2 linked regions of the Callithrix jacchus genome follow. The protein of the gene in region 2 interacts with the protein of the main gene of each other region in a biochemical or structural test. Links are inferred from orthologs where the notes say so. Each region holds a gene or a part of one and is shown on either strand. Other genes may lie near its edges.

Region 1 (4,207 bases), on a different chromosome or scaffold from region 2:
CTTTGGAGGAAGAGATGGGAACAAAGGAATGAGGGCAAAGGTGAAAAAGGCAAAATGTCAAACAATACCATTCTTTTGGATAAAAATGTGGTCTTTTCACTTGCAATGAGGTAATGCTAAGGAAGTTTTTTCTACAGTCTGCATATGCTTAGTACAGTTAAAATTAAACCATCTTAAAATAGAAACTACAACTAGTAAAGGTGTTGAGCATGAATTTCAATTAAAAATGATATAACAATATGAATATTAACAGAAAGTTTGAGTATCAACATTGTCTATAGAAAAAAGGTGGTTTGGTCAGCACCCAACTATTAGTCATGGTGAGAAAACAAATAGTTCTGAAATGTAGGGACCTGTTCACAGATCAGATATGTGTAAAGGACATATCCACAGACACCCAGAGATGTTTACAGAGCGTGTTCAGCTCAGTTTGTATCATCTGGGTGTGTTTTGTGTACATCTGTTTAACTTTCTGGTTGAGATAATGTAATTCTGCTTTTCCCAAGTTATGTTGTTGTGGCTTTGTTGTTGTTGTTGTTTGTTTGATTGAGACAGGGTCTGGCTCTGTCGCCCAGGCTGGAGGTCAGTGATGTAGGCTCACTGTAACCTCCGTCTCCGGGCTCAAGCCATCCTCCCACTTCAGCCTCCCGAGTAGCTGGGACTGTATTGCCCAGGTTCCCATTTTCCATTTGAGCTCCCTTTCCCTTGTTTTTTTCCCTTTCTTCCTCCCAGCGCAGTTCATTTCTCAAGACTGTGAACGCTGCGAGTGGGGTGGATAGAGGAACAATTGGGAGGTGGTGTCAAGGTAACATTCCACTTCTCTCCCGGTCTTCTCCCTCACCCTCCCATATTCACATGTGGTTTTCACTTGCCAAGGGGCAGGACCAAGGTTTCTGCAGTACCAAACTGCAGGTGCAGTTGCACTAAGCAACTTACATTCAAACAAATACGAAACCCAAACTAGCCCGTCTCTGTAAATCCCACAGCACGACTGCCTTCCCTACCTCCTCGTTAGAGGTACTTCACAGCCCTCCAGCTCCAACTGAGAGAACCCAGCCGGGCAGGAAGTCCCTACTTCAGGAACACCAAGAAGGTGGCCGTCAGCTGCTGAAGGTGAAGAATTCGTCTTCTGACGCGACAGTCTCCTGGGCCAATCAGAGGCAGCCCGTGTGGGGAAAGGCTCCAGTGCGCCCTGCTGGGGAGCAGCGGCGAGGTAGCACCTGGCAGAGGTGACTTGCTCTGAGGAGCGGCGGTTCCTTCCACCAATCGGAACGTGCAGAGTTGGGGAGCCGGCCAATCAGGCGCGGAGGGCGGGGCCGGGCGGGGCTCCACCTGGCGGCTGGCTCTTAGTCCCCGCGCTGCAGTCTGAGGAGCTGTGTCTGTTCCCCGGAGTCAGTCGGCGGCTGTTGTATCGTATCGGGATCCTGGTCGCGATGGGGACGAAGGCGCAAGCCGAGAGGAAACTGTTGCGCCTCTTCGTTTTGGAGATCCTGTTGTGTAAGTTCTCGGAGTTTCGGGAGGAATCGGCTGGTCGGGCCAGAGGTTGGAGGAAGGCGCTCCCCACGCCCCTGGCCCGCGGGAGAGGAGGAGCTCAGAAACCTGCTTACTTCGGTCTCCTAATTCTCTTTTCCACCCCTGCCTGGTCCCTCTTCTTTCACTCTCGCAGCCGGGTGAGTGGCTGGCTCCCCTCCCCCACACTAGTGAGTTGTGACCCCACCCCTCACGCCCACTGGGAGGGAGCTGACCCATCTGCACACACCAGAAGTACACTCCTCGTCCTCACGGCGAGAGCATTCGGGCCAAGGACCCTTCCAAACTCATCTACCCAGCGCGCGCTCCACACGCACCTGGGAAGGGCCAGCCTCCCCGTCCAAGGCGCACCCAGCATCCACGAATCCCCGCTGCGCAGCCGGGAGCCTTGGCTCCTTAAGGGTCCTCGGAGAAAATCAAATGGAGGCAGGCTGGGGTGGAAGGCTCTGTCCTTAGCTTTTGCTGAAGGAGTCTCTGGTTCCGCTGAATTTTTGGATTGCGGCTGTTGCTCTGGGAAAATGTCTGGGTGAACAGTCTAAAGAGGAAATGAAGTAGAAACCTGAAATTTCTCCAAGCGCAGCATAGGTTCCAGAGAAGTTCTTTTCTGGAATAATTACCTTAGGAGTCCTTAATACATTTTGTTGACTGAGTGACTCTTCCCAGGGGGAGAGTGTATCTGTTGGTTGGCTGGATTCTTATCAGAGTCAGCTCTGCCCTCCTCCTGGCTGTGTATGAGAGTTTTTGTTTCCTTTGTAAACTCCCTTTCCTGAGGAACAATGAGGCTCACTTGCTAGGGCATGCCTCTGTCTCTAGATGTGTTTGTGTGGGGCTGAGCGAGTAGTCGGTTGGTTTGTGGGTTAGTCAACCTGCGGCAGCACCTGTATGTTTATCCGTCTGATTCTTGAGTGTCTGTGCGTGTCCTTGTGTGGGTAGTTGTGTCAGTATATGAGTCTCCCCCAACCCCCAAGGTTCTTGTTTTAGAAAGTGTAAAGTAAGTGAATGATTACAATCAGTATTGTAATCATTGTGTTGTAAAGGCAATTAATTTTGCTAAGTTTTTGAAGGGCAGTTCTAGATTCCCTGCCCTTACACGGATTGACTGCTCATTTGTCCCTCATCACAAAAACAGAAACTCTTGGGGGAGATTGGACCAGAGGCTTATGTAGTTCTCTTTCTGTTTTACTAATAAGGGTCCCAGAGGGGAAATGACTTTTCCAGGTTGACAATAGAATTAGGGGTGGAACCTGGGAATGGAACCAAACTCTCTTGATTTGCTTTTTTTTTTTTTTTTTTTTTTTTTTGCCATTCTTGGATCCAGCATCTCCGGTACCCTATGGCACAAGAACTGTTTGGGATACTGTTTCAGAATCTACTATCTTTCTTACCGTTAAACTTTTACTTTCCCAATAGCTTCTTCATTTACACCCCCCCCCCTTTTTTTTGAGACGGAGTTTCGCTCTTGTCACCCAGGCTGGAGTGCAATGCCACTATCTCTGCTCACCACAACCTTCACCTCCTGGGTTCAAGCGAGTCTCCTGTCTCAGCCTCCTGAGTAGCTGGCACGCGCCACCACGCCCAGCTAATTTTGTATTCAGTAGAGACAGGGTTTCTCCATGTTGGTCAGGCTGGTCTCCAACTCCCGACCTCAGGTGATTTGCCAAACTTGGCCTCCCAAAGTGCTGGGATTATAGGTGTGAGCCACCATGCCTGGCCATGTCTCCCTTTTATTCTGCTCCTCCATTTTCCTTTTCTTCTATTTCCCTTTTTTCCCTACCCCTTGCCTATTTTACTTCTGCCTGTATTTTAGAACTGCTAGTGATACCCATAGTCATTTTTGGTTCAGTGGTTCTGTTACTAAAGAACTCGTTAGTACTGTGGTTCTGTACTAGAGATTTTTCCAACCTTTGTACTGTGCCAGTATTTTCCCCCTAAGCCCAGAAGTTTCTTCTGGGTGAGTGACTGTAACAGTTTTTGTCTGTGACAGTTATCTGTCAGTCTTAAAAGCTTCCTGGAGCTGCTTCCTCCCTATCCTTTGCCACTGCTTCCTTTTTTTCCCTCTCCCTCGAATTTCCTATATTATTTATGATAATCCTGAAATAATCACATACTGGCACTGGAAGTTTATGATAGCACCATTTTGAGCTTGGAGGTGCCTTCAGGGAACCAAGCCACAGTAGTGCAGAGGGAACGAACCTGAGATGATGTCATATTAGCCTGTTAGGACAGTGGGTCCTGGGAAGCGGCATATCCAGGGGATGGAGGAACTGATCTTGTAACTTTTAAATCAGGCTAGATGTGGGTTGGGGTTGGTGGAGGGGAGTGATCTGGTTAGTGCAAATGAGGATGGAAATGAGAGCCACCACACCTGTGTTCTAGCTTGGTTTCTTAGGCAGTCGCTTAGTCTTTTAATCTATAAAATAGGAGTAATAATACTTGTTCCGCCGGGCACACTTTGGGAGGCCGAGGCGGGTGGATCACAAGGTCAAGAGATCAAGACTATCCTCATCAACATGGTGAAACCCCGTCTCTACTAAAAATACAAAAATTAGCTGGGCATGGTGGTGCACGTCTGTAGTCCCAGCTACTCAGGAAGCTGAGGCAGGAGAATTGCTTGAATCCAGGAGGCGGAGGTTGCGGTGAGCCGAGATCGCGCCAACAAATACTTGTCATGAGGATC
Region 2 (3,647 bases):
ATATCTGCTTGTCAATGCACTTCTTTCATAAGCATAGTTTGTCATGATGGAAATATCACTCAGAGGGCAATAAGTCTAAAAAATAATGCCATCAGCACTCCTGCTTTTATTTTGCAGTATAACTAGCTGGCCCTACCACAGAGAGCCTCGTGTTCATTTTAATTTTGTGAGCCTGCCATTCTGAACACAGAAAACGTTTCTTGGTTTTTAGCTATTGCTAGAGGATATGCTTTAAAGACTTTCAATCAACCTTTATAAATCAAGTTCTCGAAATAAAACAAATGTGTAAATACTCATTAATATACACTAACCTCTAATATATTGTATTTCTGTTTTTATATATTGTGATAATGGTGCTTTTTGTTTGTTTGTTTCTGATCTATTCTATTCCCAAGCATCTTATTCATTAAGAGAACCTTCCACTCCCTGAAACAATATGGCAAAATGATTGTAAATATGACCTTAGTTCTTAACATTAGTGATCTGCCCAATCACTTAAAGTGCAAAATAAGATATCACAGGTTTTGGCTGGGTGCAGTGGCTCACGCCTGTAAGCCCAGCACTTCAGGAGGCCAAGGCCAGCGGATCACCTGAGGTCAGGAGTTCAAGGCCAGCCTGGCCAACATAGTGAAACCCCATCTCTACAAAAATATAAAAATTAACTGGGCATAATGGCAGGTGCCTGTAATCCCAACTACACAGGAGGCTGAGGCAGGAGAATGGCTTGCACCCAGGAGGTGGAGGTGGCAGTAAGCCAAGATTGTGCCACTGCACTCCAGCCTGGGTGACAGAGCAAGACTCCATCTCTAAAAAATAAAATAAAAAATAAAGTAGCCCAGATTCCTTTATTACATCATCAAATCAATTTTACTGAATTATTTTAACCCCTCTAAAATACAGGGTTCATTCAATATTCTTTACAAAAAGAAAGTCAGTATGCAACTGACAGCATTTGGGTATGACCATACAAAAAATATTATAGGAAACACAGACATACAATTTTATCCCTTTGTGAGATTTTTCAAATGTGTGTGAGAATTGGACCATGTTAAATTTCAATAGGAATGGGCGTCTGCTCAGGAAAGTTTCGTACATTGCTTGAAATTGTTTTTGTGATAGTGTTAAGAAGCAGGTTTCAGAAAAATATTTGTTAAAGTCTTTCCACTCAGTCTGGCGTGATTAGAGAACTCCACTTTTGCAAGGGTTTCTGAGCTTAGACTCTGCTTCATGATTCTTTTCATCCTGATCTACCACACACAGGCTGCTCGAGTAATGGGCGACAAGTTTTCAGGCCCAGGGAAGCATGTATCTGTCCTTGCATATTCAAGATTTTCCATTGAATGGATATCTGGGTTACAGTCAAGCTTGTGAGATGCTCTTTGATAAGCTTGTGAAATAGTTAAAGAACTTGCTTTACAATCTAGCATGCTACCTTCATCAACTCTGTTAAAAGAAAAGTTGTCCATGTATTTCTCATCCATCTCTAGAAATAATCTAGCTGGCCCGTCTCCTGGTTAACTTCAGTTGCATTCATGCTATATTCATGTTGGTCACTGTCTGTAGACTTTTTCTTTTTAGTATTACTGATTTCTTAGACTTGGAAAAATATGAACAGCATGTGGTTTCGAATGAATTCATATGATTTGTTGGATACTGCATGAAAAGATATGTAGTATCTTTTAGAATTGAACATTTTAATGCATGTATTCAGCAGCTTTGGATGCCCCTGGTTCTAAAGCACATTTTCATAGGCTTAAAAATGAAAATTTCTCCCTAGATGCTATATGACTTAAATTACATGTAAGCCATATATCATAAGTTGGATTCATATTTTTAAGACATGGTTTTAATATAACTGTAGTTTTGCCAGTAAGATTATAATTTTATATACATGAAATAGTCATTCCATAAATTTACCTTTCTTCTAAATCTTTGCATTTTAGTGTTTGATCAATTAGATCTTGTCACATATGAAGAAGTAGTAAAACTGCCAGCATTCAAAAGGAAAACATTAGTCTTATTAGGTAAGTTTGATTGTGTAAGTGGGTTGCTGCTTCTCACTTTCAAAACATTTTGTGAACATTAGTAACAGTTGTCAACGTTAACATTCTTTTTTCTAAATGACATAGGCGCACATGGTGTTGGGAGAAGACACATAAAAAACACTCTCATCACAAAGCACCCAGACCGGTTTGCGTACCCTATTCCACGTAAGCAATGTCTCAATCTCTTTTCCTTATATTTTTCCTATCACTTTTTTTAAACTCTATAATTTATGTATTTTTTCTGATTACAAAAGGTATAACTGTTCATTGTAGGAAATTTGTAAAATCCAGAAAAGAACAAGGAAAAATTGAGTTAACAATAATCCCACTTTCCCTATAAAGTGCTATAAATACTTTGTTGCATACCCTTCCAGGCTTCTCTTAGTACAGATATGTGGAGAGAGAGAGAGAGAGAGAGAGAGTGTGTGTGTGTGTGTTTTAAATAAAATTAAGCTCATCCATTCTGTTGGTAACAATTTTTCTCACAGTATGTCATACACATTACCTAGATGAATTATTCTTCAGAAAAATAAGTTTTCATAGTTGTAAAGTTTCTCTGACATGACAATTTTTCCCTTAATCAATATTTAAATTGTTGATTTCTTATCACTTATTAAACCCAATTAATATGCTAACAGTTGTTTCCATAAAGATTTTCGAATCTGTAAGATTTTTAATTCTCCTTATTTTCTATATCTTATTCTTAACCTCTTGCCGTCTTCATTTTCTCAACTGTAAAATGAAGTAATTCCAGGATTACAAAGAGAATTCGAGATCATGTGTATGAAGCACTTAGCAGATGATGGATGAGTAGAAACTGTCTACCACTATCATTTCATTATTATCATCATTATTCTAAAGTTTAAAATTTTAATCCCTGAAGCTTTCTAGCAGTTCAGGGTTGGAAGAGCTGAAGGAGAGTGCTTTTTTAAGAGCAACAGGAGACAATGTGAAGATCAATTCCATTCTATAGGGCCTTCACATGCCTTCCTGAAGCAATGTCAATACCACTTACAGTTATCTGTATACCTCAGAGAGCCAGGAGGCTTCATGAGACAACCTTCATCCCAGAACCCTGTCTGATATACACAAGAAAATGTTTATCCAATAGTGTCTCATTTGGCACTCATGGGGTTTTCTATTAAAACACTTTGAAATGTTATTTTAATTCTCCTTCTGTCTATCTAGATCATGAGTACAGCAAGCTCAGCTAACATTTAGCTGCTTCTTAACCATGTAACAATTGAACTTCCATGTTATTAAATGACCAGTTAACTAGTTTGGTTTTAAAACTTTGGTGACGTCAATCATGCCTAGTCTCTGAAATATTTGACCCCATATGTGTATATAACATATATCTAACTACTGAAATAACTGAAGACAGTGTAGCATCAACACGTTGTCAGTTTTTGGCCGGGCACAGTGGCTCACGCCTGTAATCCCACCACTTTGGGAGGCTAAGGTGAGTGGATCACATGAGGCTAGGAGTTCGAGACCAGCCTGGCCAACATGGTGAAACCCATCTCTACTAAAAATACAAAAGTTGGCCAGGCGTGGTGGCATGCACCTGTAGTCCCAGCTACTAGGGTAGCTAACGCATGA

Evidence for each region. The genes of interacting proteins can lie anywhere in the genome.
Region 1: the proteins of CASK (region 2) and F11R form a complex in vitro, tested with the Homo sapiens proteins (2 studies listed by BioGRID and IntAct, with this or other methods). The link is inferred for Callithrix jacchus from reciprocal best matches to the Homo sapiens genes CASK and F11R.

The regions. Positions count from the first base shown.
Region 1 is NC_133519.1:20,880,028-20,884,234, reverse strand, and holds the start of F11R (junctional adhesion molecule A), read left to right. Parts: upstream 1-1,348; 5' UTR 1,349-1,433; coding exon 1,434-1,497; intron 1,498-4,207. UniProt on the Homo sapiens protein: Seems to play a role in epithelial tight junction formation. Appears early in primordial forms of cell junctions and recruits PARD3.
Region 2 is NC_133524.1:42,368,160-42,371,806, reverse strand, and holds part of CASK (peripheral plasma membrane protein CASK), read left to right. Parts: intron 1-1,943; coding exon 1,944-2,024; intron 2,025-2,129; coding exon 2,130-2,210; intron 2,211-3,647. UniProt on the Homo sapiens protein: Multidomain scaffolding Mg(2+)-independent protein kinase that catalyzes the phosphotransfer from ATP to proteins such as NRXN1, and plays a role in synaptic transmembrane protein anchoring and ion channel trafficking.